2 linked regions of the Mus musculus genome follow. The main gene of each other region encodes a partner of the protein of the gene in region 2 in a complex. Links are inferred from orthologs where the notes say so. Each region holds a gene or a part of one and is shown on either strand. Other genes may lie near its edges.

Region 1 (7,591 bases), about 31 Mb from region 2:
GATAGGAGTATACTGTGTGCGCGTGACAGGCATCACATATGCGCACACAAAGCTTGCTTACAGTTTATAACATAGTTTGTTGCTTAAGGTACATTTTTCAAAACTGAAGTTTCTTTTTCACTTACTATGACTTTAAGAGGATAGAGAGATGGCTCGGTAGTTACGGGCACTTGCTGCTCTGTGAAAAACACAGATGGGTTCACGTCCTAGCACCCGTGCTGGGTAATCCACAGCCACCTCTGAGTCCAGTTTCCAGGAATTTGATGCTCTCTGCTGGCCTTGGAAGGTACCATCGTGCATGTCCATACACAAATAGGCACACAGATGGGGTTGGTTGGCTTGTTTGTTTTAAATTCATGAGCATATACATATTGGTGGGTAGAGACTTAAGGTGCAAGTGTAAGGACCGGAGTTTGGGTCCTCGGAACTCACATGAAGTCAGTGAGGTGTGGGGACAAGGGAATCCCTGGAAGCTCATGGCCAGCCTGTCGGAGAGACCCGAGGATGTCCTCTTACTTCCACGTGCAAACTGGGTCGTGGTCTCTGTCTCTGTGTGTGTGTCTGTCTGTCTCTCTGCGTCTGTCTCTCTGTGTGTGTCTGTCTGTCTGCATCTGTCTCTCTGTGTGTGTCTGTGTCTCCCTCCCCTCCTCTCTCTCTCACACACACATACACAGATACACATGCTTACACACATACTCTCTTTCACACACACACTTTGAAATCAGATCTGCTCAGTGCCTAAAAAACAGCCCCTCCTTTTCAGTTACTTGATGCCCTAATATTTAGCCAAGCCGCCACTTCCCCAGAGAAGTGTTCTCCCTACAGATCTTCTAATGGCACCTCCCATAGTAGTAATTTTACCTTAGTGTAAGATTATTTGCTTGATAATAACTCAACTACTACTCAACTTCAATTCTAAGATTGTAGAGTCAGTATCACATGATCAGGAAATACTAAGTGCCTTAAAATCTGAAAACCCAGTATCAGAAATCAGAAAGAGTGAGGGAAACAGACAAAGGTTCTTTAGTTTTTACCGTTGTCAGAGCTGAACCCTTTTCTGCTTCTATAAACCATGGAATGATAGAACATAAGCTTTACTCTTCAATAATTAACATACGTGTGGTAAATATCCTCAGCATCTCAGTGGTACACGTTAGGGAATTTCTAGACAAGTTTTTCTCAACACGCCTGGGAACATATTCTAACACACACACACACACACACACACGCATATGTTTTTCAGGAACATGCATGAAACAGTAGGGGACTTTGCTTCTTGGTGGTAGAGCTCTTGCTAGAGTGTGCAGCTCCCTGCGTTCCGTCTGCGGTGCTGGAGGAGGGGAAAAAGAAATGTCTATATGCGTGAGAAGTACCACCATGAGTCTGAGATACATATTTGTAGAAATCAAAGTAACTTTGTAATACTGAACTTTGTTTTCTTGTAGTGTTGAAGGGCTCCATGCAATTGTTGTGTCAGATAGAGACGGGGTGCCGGTTATTAAAGGTAAAGCTAACTGCATGCATATGGCACATTTACTTTTGACAAAAAATGTTTTATATTTAAATAATTAAAAATATAGACAGCTTATTTCAACAAACTAGAAAGACTGTTTTAGTTGTTCGAGGAAGTATATACGTTGTGTGTTGAGGACTTGGTGTAGAGCCTACAGTGAACTGCATGTCATCTGGACCATGTAACATCTAGCATCTGTGTGCATTTACCATAGTCCTGGTTATCCACTGAGGATGCTTATGGCATAATACAAATCATTAAACAAGTCTTTACTGTTGAAAGTGTGAGCAAGGCAGGCAGGCAGCCAACCCCTAAGCCACGGCACTAGCTCACACTGGTGGGTTTTTTGTTTTGTTTTGTTTTTTAAGATTTATTTATTTATATGCATTCATATATGTATTCATATACATATGAATATGAATGCACTGTTGCTGTCTTCCGACACACCAGAAGAGGGCATCCAATCCCATTACAGATGGTTGTGAGCCACCATGTGATTGCTGGGAATTGAACTCAGGACCTCTAGAAGAGCAGTCAGTGCTCTTACCTGCTGAGCCATCTCTCCAGCCCCACTGGTGGGTTTTAATCTTGTGGGGTTTTGCTTCTTTACTAGAAACATATTTTTTAAAACTTTAATGTCATTAGTTTAGTTGATCAGAATCTAAGAAGTTTCTAAAAATACATCTCTGTAAAGTCTTGAGACCTCTATGCATGCATACAATGTGTTTTGATCATATTCGGTTCCACCCCAAATCCACCAAACATGGTTTTGGCAGTCCTCAACTTTCTTTGGTGCACATTTGCTGTAACAGAGGTAGTGTGAGCTCAGCTTGTCTGCTGTTCGTATCTCCTGGCATCATCAAAGTGGACTTTGCTGGTTTCACTTACCAAAGATTAAAGATGAAATAGTGTCTTATGCATTTTATTTACAATTTCTTTTCCATATCAGGTAAATTTAGACATTAGGATTAAAACGTGCTTTGAGGTCACGTGGGTTATTTCTTCCAGTTTATCCATTAGCATGGTCAAGTGCAGAGAGGACACTGCCTGGGCAGAGCTGGGCATTGAGTTGGTGACAAGACATGATAAGAGTCCATTGACTGTGTGCCACCCACCACACAGCCACACCGTGTGGGCAGCTATGGCCAGCCACCTTCCTCTTCTCACCCCTAGAAAGAGGGCTCAGGTGATTCTCCAGCCCTCATGTTCTTTCCCAGAATGTCTGTGAACCACTGAACCTCCATACTTAGCTGATGCAGCTGCTACACTAGTCTAGCCTTAACGAGCGAGAGGAGCGTGAAGCTGGCAGCCAGCCATTGGGCTGTGGGTTTGTATGAGAGCAAAAGGCATTTTCCATCTGATTCTGTCTACACCAGAGCACTGTAGTATAGTACAGTGATGACTATAGTCTGAGATGGCCAGGATATTCATTCTGTTACATGTAAGGCAGCGTGTCGTCCCTGAGGGATTTATAGTCACAGACCTTCCGAGACCCAGCTAGCAGTAGGGTTTTCAACATGGCAAGTGTCCTGTTGTGCCTAGGCTTTTACTGGTTTGTGTTTTTTAAAACTTGCTGTTGAACTCTTCCCTCCATACTCTACATGACGTTTATGTAATCACTGATCGCAGTGGCTAACGACAGTGCCCCAGAGCACGCCCTGAGACCTGGCTTCCTATCCACGTTTGCCCTCGCAACAGACCAAGGCAGCAAACTCGGACTTTCAAAAAACAAAAGCATCATCTGCTACTATAACACCTACCAGGTCTGTATATTCCGTTTACAGCGACTGATGCACTTCTGATTTCACTACCATTTTTACATCTTTTGTATAAATTAGTTTTAGTATAAGTCTAGATTTTAGTGTCAGGGGGATAGAATTTTTAATAGTTAGCTCGAACTAATCTTTATTTTTAAGAAAGGGAATAATTATTATGGAAAAGTACTTAAAACTTTAAAAATAAAGAGCTTGTTATGCTATAAAGTATGTGTTAGATCATTGTTAACTCCAGTAGATGGTGCCGTTAGCTTACATAGCTGCGATTCTTCAACACAATTCCTCTGTTGTGACAGGTTAAAAAACAAACAAACAAAAAGCTTACCTTGAAAGTTGAATGATGAGCTGTTTGAATTTGTAGACTTGCAACATTACTACTTCTTTCCTTTTAGGTGGTTCAGTTCAATCGTTTGCCTCTGGTGGTGAGTTTCATAGCCAGCAGCAGTGCCAACACAGGTATGTTAGCAGGGCCACAGATGCCGCCTGGAATTCTTTATAGCGTTCTGCAGCGTGAGAGATTAGGACGGACAGAGCCTCAGCCCCATCTCTGTTTTCTCTTGAATTCTATTCCCAGTTCACATGCCTGCCTCCCTCCCCGGCCTCGTCCACCTCGACGGTGGCTTCCAGATGCTCTTGAGATGAGGCAAGACATTGGGGTTTGCGTAGAAACGTCAGCTCAGTGTTGCATTGCGTGTGCTGTTTGTGACTCCCATTGTAACAGCCTATGAAAAAAGGAAGGGCTACAGGACATAAACTGAACAGAATACATACAGGGCGCTGTATAAGTGTCATAATTCTCTACACCAACCAATTAAATTACAACGCTGAGACAAGTTGAATGTCATTGACAATTTAGAGATAATTTCATAGTTTCTTTTCTGTCGCTGTGGCGAACTACTCTGGCAAAAGCCACATGAGGAGAAAGGGTTCATTTCAGCCCAGAGTTCATATGAAAAATCTTCTAACATTCTAATTTTTTAACTCTTTTTTAGGACTAATTGTCAGCCTAGAAAAGGAGCTAGCTCCGTTATTTGAAGAACTGATAAAAGTTGTGGAAGTGTCTTAATCCAGCAGTGGTTCTGATGCACACCTGGGCCTCACTGCAGCAACCCTGGACCAGGCCAGCAACCTTCCGACCACAATAGTACTTGTAGCTATGTATTCAGAAGGCCGCTTTTCCACATTACACTAAAGAAGAGCCTATTGCTATAATTTATAGACAGATCAATTGTTATATTTATGTGTATAAAATCTTTTCTTACTTAGTGAGGTCTGAGAACACCACAGAAATGGTCATTCGATTGCAGCTCCCATGGAGTTAGTGCAGGCACCTGAAAGTGAGTGGTATCTGTCCAGAGCAGAGGGTCAGACCGGGACCGTGAGGCCCTTGAGCCAGCAGGCACACCTGCTGAACTCTGCTCCACTCCATAAGCCGCAGACCCTTTTACTGAGAATAATAATGAGGTCATATTTTTCTTCAGATTATATTTTATTTCTTTGCATTGTGAGGAAGATGAAATGGCTTAGTAAAAATAATTAAGTACAATCACTAACGCCCCTCTCTCTGTGTTCTCGGTGAGGATGAGTTACTAATGGATTTGATTCTTCAGGGTGCTGCTGTTCACTGAGAGCACAATCACTGCTTATGATGTCTCTCCGCTTTGCTGTAACCGTGCTTCCACCATTGTGTTCTTTGTACAATTGAAATGCATGTTACTGAGTTCTGTTTCCTTATCAGGATGTATATAAAATGACAGGATGGCCATTTTTTATACATGTGTATAAATAAAATAGTATTTTTAAAGGTACCGAATGAGCTCTGTATAGGCCTCTTTTTTGGACTTTGAAAAGTTTAATGGGCATAATTCTAACCTTCAGTCACATGAATAAGCCATGAATAGTTCATATAGGGATTGTATTGGAGACTGTGCCTAGTATAAACTGTCAAAAAGGAAGAAAAAAAAGAAAAGAAACCCTCCCTTGTGAGCCTGGCTGAATCTCCAGGAAAGAAGCGATCTCTGCTTATATGACTGAGAGGCTCAGGAGTAGATCAGCCATTCAAGCCCTGGCTGTCCCGGCACTTTGTCTCTGGAATGGTTCAGTCCCCATCCCTCCTGATGCATAGCTGTAGACACCATTGCCTGGGAATGTCTGCTCCGGACAGAGTGCTGGTGCTGTCCTTAGGTTCCGCACGAGCTGGTTGCCCGAGCACCCGCTGCTTTTCCTTCCCCTCATTTTCCAGTACAATCTGGGATGAGTGGTGAGTAGAGAAAGTGAGTGTGTGGTGCCCTGAGTTAGACACAGAAGGCCTCGGAGCCACAAACTGGGGCCACCTAAAGCAGGAGAAATCAAGCCGAGAGAATGTGTTATTGTCTTTAGGGAGCTATAAACTGTTAATGAACGATGAGATGCACCCACTAAGATAACAGAATTCTCATTGTCTGAGTTACCACATAACAATGTCTAGGAAATTGTTACTAGTGATGTGGCACATGAGACAGGAAGGTGACTCTACGTAACATAAAGCTAGAAAACTTAAGATTACACCTACTTAGTGTTGTGTGCGCATACACACGTGTACACATGTTGGGGTCAAAGGACAACTCAGGAGTCAGTTCTCTCCTGCGAAGTAGGTCTGGGGATTGGCCACACACACACAATAACAGTAAGTACAAATTTTAAAATACTTTAACAAACGGAATGAGATTCTTGAGGAGAAAGCTGTATGAGTTCTCGAGCAGATCAGCAGGGGTTATAAGTATGTGCCAAGGGACCAGCCTCGGCTTGGAGAAGGGGTCTGAGTTAAGGGGTGTCCGGGAGCAACGAAAACAACACTAAGTCAAATCGAGGGTCTGAGCTTTCCAGCTTTTTCCTCTCCTCTACATCTTCCTCTCTGATCTGCTTTCCTTGGAGATCTGCAGTTCTGCTTGAGAAAGTTCTCCAAGCAGTTCACTCTTGCTATTCTAAATTCCCTGGACAGCTCTTCTCCTGCAGATCATAAGCCCAGTCTTTTATTTTACATATTAATCCGGTCATTTACATCAGGTTTTCCTTTTGATTATCCTATGAGTCAGCATCCTGTGACCAGAGCCCCTTAGTTCTTAAAAAAACAGCAAGCACACATTTTCTAAAATTTTAACATTGCAACAGAATTTAGAGATATGCCTGCGTCTGTTAAGTAGACACTAAGCTAGCTGGGTGAGACCCTGTCCTGAAATTACCATTTCTAGCACACCTGGGCTTGGACTTGCTGCGTCCTAGGCTGACCTTGAACTCAGGAATCTGCCTGCCTTTGTATCTGACAAGCTGGCTCATAGTGTAGCTAGCTACCTCTGTTCCTTGAGATTTGTGAAGCCTCTCATATAATTCATATTGCATCCCTATTTTTTGCATCGTTGAGAAATTATATATTTTCAATCTCATGTTTTTAGAGTCCTTTTCCACAGCATTAAAGGCTGTCCTGAAGGTCCCAGCATTTAGTTTTGCTGAGACATTAGCCACAACTTCGTCTCCTGGACTCATACTGTCTCTGATTATCATGGGGTCGTTAACGTTAATAGGAAGGACATTGCTTAAAGGAGGAATGTAAAAAATGTACATTATTATACAAACAAGCCTTATGCCTATGGCAGCCATCCGAACTCTTGGAGCCTTTGTGCTGGCCCTGTCCCAGGGGCAGGAACCGAGTCATTCTGTCCCCATCAAGGTCTCGTCAGATGGCATGTATGCGTATTCGATATAGGGGAATGGTGTGAGATATTGGCACATGCAACTGTGGAGTAGCCCAGAGACAGAGACCATCTCCACTCAGTGCATTTTCCCTTGCGCCAAAGACCTTTTGGCTGATGGGTGAGTCCTGCCCATACTCGATTAACTAGACATTTCAGCTTGTTCTCCAGTTTCTTCCGTTCAGGTAGCGAAGTGAAGTCAAGCCTAGCAGTACAAGCAAGGTTTTGAGTAAATCACTAATATATCAATATCTAGTAACCAACCAGTCTTTTTAACCTTATTCTACTTCAAAAGCAATAAAAATGTTATAAAAGTTGGACATGTACCACAAAAACATGCACTTTTCATTTAATGAACAGAACTAAAGGATACAAATAAACTCCTTTTACAGAAGGTAAGTAGACTGTTTAGTAGGAGAGAAAGATTATTGTTTCTAAGAACATAAAAGCCATACATTTTAGGAGGAGCCACGTGTTACTCCTTATTTTGCAAACTTGACACAATGCATTTTATCAGGACGTTGCTTTATTCCATAAAATACAAACAGAACAAGTAAATCCCCTTAGCCCCCAGG
Region 2 (6,816 bases):
GGACAGCCATGCTAGACTTCTGTCTGCAAGCATAACAGAATATCATTAATAGTGTCAGGGATTGTTGCTTGTCCATGGAATGGGTCTCAAGTTGGGCTGGTTACTGGTTGGCCATTCCCTCAGTCTCTGCTCCATCCCTGATCCCTGCACTTCTTGTAGACAGGATAATTTTTGGCTAGAAAGATTTGTGGGTGGGTTGGTGTCCCCGTGGATCCACTGGGTTCCTGCCTGGCCACAGGAGGCAGTCTCTCCCAAGTGGAGGCATTTTCTTAGTTGGGGTTCCCTCCTTTCAGATGGCCTCAGCTTGTGTCAAGTTGACATAAAACTATCCAGTACGTTGAGGAATTTGCCTGGCTTCCTCAAGAAAAAATGTTCCCCAGAGCCAGAAACAATTGGCAGTAGACGTGGCGACAGTAAGGTTTACTATAACTGATTTGTATAATTATAGAAGCTAAGAAGACCAACATCTGCAATAAACAAACTGCAGACTGGGAGCCAATGGTAGGGTTCCATTCAAATGAGGTCACCAAAACTGAGGTGTAAGTTTCAGTCAATCTAAGAATGGAGGGCCAGAACCCCAGGGCAAAGAATCAAACAAATGGGGTGAATGAACAGAGTTTTTAGTTTACTCAGGGGCTCAGTGGGTTACAGGAAGCTCATAAAGATACTGATTCAAATGGCCTTGGCCAGACACATTCTGAAATGGCCCAACTCAAGTATCTTGGCATCTCATAGTCCAGTCAAGTTAATACATCAAATCAGGGCAGGGGTTTGGGAAACCCCATGCAACCATACTTCAGCTTTAGTTCTGTGCAGACTAGAAAATTACCTATCTCCAGTGTGTGGTTTGACAGAGAATGTCCTGCCAGACTCAGAAGCTTGACTCCTTGGCCCCCAGTTGGCCGAGCTGTTTGCAAAGGATCAGGAGATGTAGCAGTGCTTGAAGGGATGTGCACTGGGTGTAGGCTTTAAGGTTTCCAAAGACTCATGGCATTCCCAGTGTGCCTTTCTCTGCTTCCTGCTTTTGGATCAAGATACGATCTCTGAGCTGTTCCTGACCAGCATGCTTTTGCTACACCATCATGAACTCTAACCCTCTGAAACTGTAAATCCAATTAAAGGCTTCCTTTTCTAAGTTCCCCTGGCCATAGGTGTTTTGTCACAGTAATAGAAAGACCACAAGACATCTAGCCTTTCAGTCTTCCCAGCACAAGTCTTGTTCTATGAATAAATTGGATATATTTTTTCCTACTTCAAATGGCTACTGTGAGTAGATGAGAAAATGCTTCACTGCTAAAGAGAGAGGTTCTGAGATAAGCAGATATAGCATGGCATGTGGCACAAGCAGGGGGCCAGAGCTGGATCTCTCAGGTCACGGAAGGAACTTTAAATTTTGTTCACAATGCAAGGGGAGGTACCTGAAAGTTTGAAACTAAGCCTGGCGCACAGTGAGCACCTACACCATGTTACTGAGCATGATCACCAACAGGATGCCCTGTCAAGTTCAATTTATCTGAAATCGAAATCAGTCACCCTCTTTCTGTTCTATGACAGACTAGAAAATGCAATTTTTGTTCCTATTCTCCTGTTTGCTGTTGCTTTTTGTATTTTATAGAACCCATTCTTTTCTAAACTGATCCCAGTTTAATATACAGATGGTTAAGTGAACCAAACCATATAAATTGCTCAGTATATCTCTAGCATACAAAAACCTCACTAAAGTTTGAATTGTAAAAGCCAGGCACGGTGGCTTGGGGGCTGGAGAACTGGCCTGCCCCCTGCCACCACTATTGGGCTGTTCTCAGCTGATGGCTGAGTAAGTGCACCACCACTACCCAGCTAGGTCTAGGATTCACATTTCCAGCTATTTCACCTCCTGCCTCACAGACCAAAGCGTTTGCTGTTATGCACATACTCTTTCTGGTTTTCCCTGTCTTTGCTTTCCTCTTGCTAGAAACCTTTACTCACTGCGTCCATTCTATTCTTGGAGGCCCAGTTTATACCACAAACCCCTTATCCTTGTGTATTCAGTAAGTGCTTAGTTAATGCCTTCTGTGAATGAGGAACTATATGCTTGGAATGTAAGACAAAGTCATGCTTTCGGAACAGGTTTGACAGTGGTATATATATTATGCCTAAAGTAGGACATTATATAACACCATTCTTAGGTACCAGCTTAAGGCCTTCAAGTGTCTTACTCGAAATCCTTTTTCTGTAAATAGCACCTTTCTCTAAGACTTTTTTTAAAAATAGGGAAATATTAAAATGCCAAAGAGCAGTAGAATAAATAAATAGACAAAATGGGACTGGCAAGATGGCTCAGTGGGTAAAAGTGCTTGCTGTATAAGCTTAACAACCTGAGCTGGGTCCCCAGAACCCCTGGTAGGAGAAAATAAACTCCCACAAGCTGTCTTCTGATCTCAACACACACACTGTGAATTCACACACAGCATGCACACAGTCCTTGTCATCTGCTGTGCAGTATCTCTTGAGAATCACTGAAGGCTGAAGACCACTATTAATCTCAAATGATAAAAATTTTTTTTATCCAACATGCCTATTTCTTCGATGGTCTGGATGATGGTAAAAATGTAGTCTGTCCATGTCGGGTAGTGGTGGCGCACATCTTTATTCCTAGCACTTGGGAGGCAGAGATAGGCAGATCTCTGAGTTTGAGGCTAACGTGGTCTACCAAATTCCAGGACAGCCAGGGCTACACAGAGAAACCCTGTCTCAGAAAAATCAACCAACCAACCAAACAAAGCAAAGCACACACGCCTTCTGTCAGTTAAGTTCTTAAGTTCTGATGGTGACCATGCTAGCCCCTAGGCTTTGGTTACACACAACAACCAGGAGTACCTATCCTATTTTATAATGAGAAATAAGTTTCTGGTCTTACTAAGGACTCAATGATATGTCCTTTGTCACTTAGGTTGAGGGAAATATTTGATCCATCTTCCCTTGCATAAGAACACAGACATTTTAAGACACCGAAAGAGAAACAAGTAGTTTGGGATAGAGATCTTTTAGAGAAAAAAAAAAAAAAAAAAAAACCAAAAAACCCACAATTTGATAACTGAAAAAAGAAAAGTGAGCATTAAGTAGGAATTTTAAAAGACCAGAAATGAACCAAACTTTCCTCAGAACAGGTTTATTGGCCATAATGAAGTTCTATATACAAAGTGACCTAAACCTTAGTGACAAATGCTTTAATTCCAGGATGTATGTGTTTAAAGCAGGAAGACCATACATTTGAAGTCAGCCTGGGCTACATAGTTCTAGGCCATGATGGGCTGTGATCCTGGACTACAGTGACTGTCACCAAAGAGCAGAGTGACAAAAGCCCAAACAATTGCTCCTCTCTAACTGATGTCTTGGTAACTGGCTGTCATATAAATAAGGGAGTCCACATTGGACATTAACTGAATGGCCTATTTCTGGAACTTTAATAGTTTTACAAATGAGCTGAGACAGGCATGACTGAATCCCGGTGAGAGGCCACTGGAGAGCTGACATCAGATGTCAAGAGGCCATTTTGTGCACAGCCACTGTGATGCCATCGTGTTTCTGGATCATAATGTTCCTGAAAAGCCAAAAAGAAAATATTCAGCAAACTCTTAATGCATGTGTCTCAGTGTAAGATTAAATTTATTTAGTTTAAATATATTTATGTTTAGATGACAGCATATTTATCTATATTCTCATACAAAACCAAATATGAACAGTCCCTGTTGACAGGTGTCCGTCACCAACCCCTAGTGCCATAGCCTCTCCATACTTCCCACCCAGAAAGGGGACTACATTCTCAAACCAAGAGCCAAGTCTTCCGCTAAGAAACATGAATAAATAAATAGCACAGATGGGCATGAACAGTTGAGGATTGTGGGCAAATCTAATTATAACATAAAGAAATTAATCCTTTTAATTAAAAAAAATTTTTAAAAAGTAATCCTTAACCCTACTACTCAACATGATTCTGATTTTTATTTTTTCCTGGAGGTTTTGGTGGTATTGTTGGAGTTAGAATCTAGAGCCTTGCACATGCTATCACTAGCCTAGCCTCCTTCCTGGTCCTAATTTTTAGATTAGATTTTTAAAAAATATATGTATGTGTCTGTCCGTGTGTGTCATTATACACACTGGTGCCTGAGAAGGCCAGCGAGTGGTGTTGGTTCCTCTGGAGTTGGAGTTATAAGTGGTTGTGAACTTCCAAATGTGGGTGCTGGGAACTGACACAGGTCCTCTGGGAGAGTGCCATGTGCTTTCAACCACTGAGCCGCCTCCCCAGCTCTTAATTCTTATTTATGTTACTTATTTTGGGGGTCTGTATGTGTGCCACTGCTTGCATGACAACGTCAGGGTGTTTGTCTCCTCAGTCATGTGGGTTCCAGGTATGGAGTTCCAGTCATCAGACTTGGCAGCAAGCACGTCTATTTGCTTAGCCATCTTGCTGGCTCCTGGTTCTAATTTTAATTTGTATATATTTATACATATATCGATATTAATATCTTCTTTTTCCCTTGCCCCAAACTGACCAAAGTATGCATTTTTAAAGGTTCACATACTCTATCTCTGTGCAGGTGTGCACATACAGGTGTGTGCATGTACACACACCTATGTATAGGCACGGAGGTCAGAAGAAGGTGCTGGGTGTCCTCTATTACTGTGCAACTATCCTTTGATGTGTGGTCTTATCCCTGAGCCTGAGCCTCATTTTCTCTGCTACACTGGAGGACAGCCAGCTCCAACAATCCTCCCATCTCTGCCCACCCCCTCGCCCCTGACTGAGGGCTGAGGTTGCAGGTGTTTGTTGTGTGGGTGCTGGGGTACTAGTATATAAGCTCTCATCCTCGGGACTGTGGCTCTTAAGCACTGGCATTTCTCCAGCCCCACAGTTTTGTTTTCTTCCTTTTATCACTTAGCATCTGAATAAAGATCTTTATCTAGGAATATCTTTAAGACCTTACTTTAGGGAATTCTATGCAGCTAATCATTTTTTGTGTTTTTACTGTTTTTCCTTTATTGGAGTGGCAAACTGATAGTTCTTATTTTAATGAAGTTCTGTTCTCATGAGGCCTGGATGTCCAATGGCTCTGTGGTGCATTGACTAATGAACTACCACTGAATGCAGGGGAAAGCCCAATCAAGTTTTTCAGAACAAAAAGAAAGGGGTGTGCTGGTATGTACTCACCCATTATCTGATTCTAAACATACCACAGGGATGTCGGTGGGGTCAGAGGTTAGCCTAGCTGCCTGCTGGGCTAGAACAGATATGACTCCAGCGTGCTCATCCGACAGGGTACCACGGCCTAGAGAATAGTGAGAAGTGTCTAAAAATTAATATAAACCTATAGTTTAGTATCTCCTCCAGAATTATTTGTGAAAAAGAAACTCCGCTCACGGCCTTTTTGCCTTTAGGTTAAGTACTGACAAGAAAGGATCTCTCTCACCTGGTACTCAGCTGAGTCCATTAGTGAGAAAGCCTGGCAATTGTTCTTAAATCAGCAAAGTCGTAAACGACATGTAGTTTTCAGAGTTATTCCCCTCACTATCTCTAAACACCTTCTCAAGCATATAAGGAAGCTGTAATTCAAGTCATCTGATGGTAGTAACTATTTTATAGGAACCTTGCTGAAACCAAGAAATTCAAAGGCGAGAGTGACAAAAAGCATTCAGTATGGATAAGGGGCTTGTTGATGCTAATTAATTCCTTATGGGAAATCTGAGTTTCTCTTCCTATGCTCAATCTCAAAGAAGCAGCCATTACTCAGAAGTCCAGTTGTAAGATCACCTTGCCAGCATATGTGAAGACCTGTGAGCAACTATTTCTGCTAGCAGAAGCTAGCTGGGCTCCTTTCAAATGTCCCCCGAGTCTTTACTATTACTTTGACTTGTATTAACTAAATCAGGCTCTAGGCACAAAAGGTAACCACCAAGCTTATTATAGATCCCTGAAATAAAGGGGTTTACTTACACCTAAAACTAAGGTAGTAGACAATATAACCTGGCAGAAATTCTGGATTGACTATTACTACATAAAAAATCCGTAGGCCAAAGTGCAGCCCGGAAATCTATTGGAAATAGCAACTTCGCACCTTGAAGGTTTTACTTAGTTTTTTTTTTTCCTCCACATTTGCATTTAAAGAGTTTTCATTAGTAACTTGGCAAATGCTTCAAAAAAATTTACCTTTGTTCCAAATGGCTGCTTTTTGTATAAGACATAACTATATTACTTTTGTCAGGTATCATACCAGCAAAAGATCAGAGCTCTAAAAAACCTGCATCAGTTATAAGGATTCTTGGGTTTACTAGTTTCTGACATTAATTAACTTTAGCTATTTACCTTTCTGGACTTAGTTCCTTATCTGTAATTGCTACAATTTATTGAACACCACACAAACACATCTTGGTTCTGTACTGGGTGTTTTAAGCTTTGGAGCCAGCTTTAAAAACATCCTATCTCAACCATTCATTAGGTGTTTGACCCTGGGCAAGGTACTTTTAAGCTTGCTAAATTTCTTGACCATAAAGGGCTTTGGTGGGGGGGGGGGGGCAGGAAGGGGGGTTATGTACGTTTTATAATGAAAACACTAAGAATAGTGCCTGGCTGGGCATGGTGATGCACACCTTTGTTCCCAGCATTCAAGGGATAGAGGCAGGCAGATCTCTGTGAGTTACAGGCCAGCATGGTCTACAAAGTTTGTTCCAGGACAGCCAGGGCCACGTAGAATAAGTTTTTAAAAAAAAATGTCTTAAGACAACACACACATAATGTATGTATGAAATAAAATAACCCAATGAAGAAACTGAAGCCCC

The links. The genes of interacting proteins can lie anywhere in the genome.
Region 1: Lamtor5 (region 2) and Lamtor3 share a complex: the UniProt entries of both Homo sapiens proteins name them as parts of the ragulator complex. The link is inferred for Mus musculus from reciprocal best matches to the Homo sapiens genes LAMTOR5 and LAMTOR3.

Annotation. Positions count from the first base shown.
Region 1 is NC_000069.6:137,923,667-137,931,257, forward strand, and holds the end of Lamtor3 (ragulator complex protein LAMTOR3), read left to right. Parts: intron 1-1,445; coding exon 1,446-1,504; intron 1,505-3,142; coding exon 3,143-3,276; intron 3,277-3,680; coding exon 3,681-3,744; intron 3,745-4,280; coding exon 4,281-4,354; 3' UTR 4,355-5,096; downstream 5,097-7,591. UniProt on the Homo sapiens protein: As part of the Ragulator complex it is involved in amino acid sensing and activation of mTORC1, a signaling complex promoting cell growth in response to growth factors, energy levels, and amino acids.
Region 2 is NC_000069.6:107,280,402-107,287,217, reverse strand, and holds the end of Lamtor5 (ragulator complex protein LAMTOR5), read right to left. Parts: intron 5,310-6,816; coding exon 5,192-5,309; intron 3,584-5,191; coding exon 3,523-3,583; 3' UTR 3,136-3,522; downstream 1-3,135. UniProt on the Homo sapiens protein: As part of the Ragulator complex it is involved in amino acid sensing and activation of mTORC1, a signaling complex promoting cell growth in response to growth factors, energy levels, and amino acids.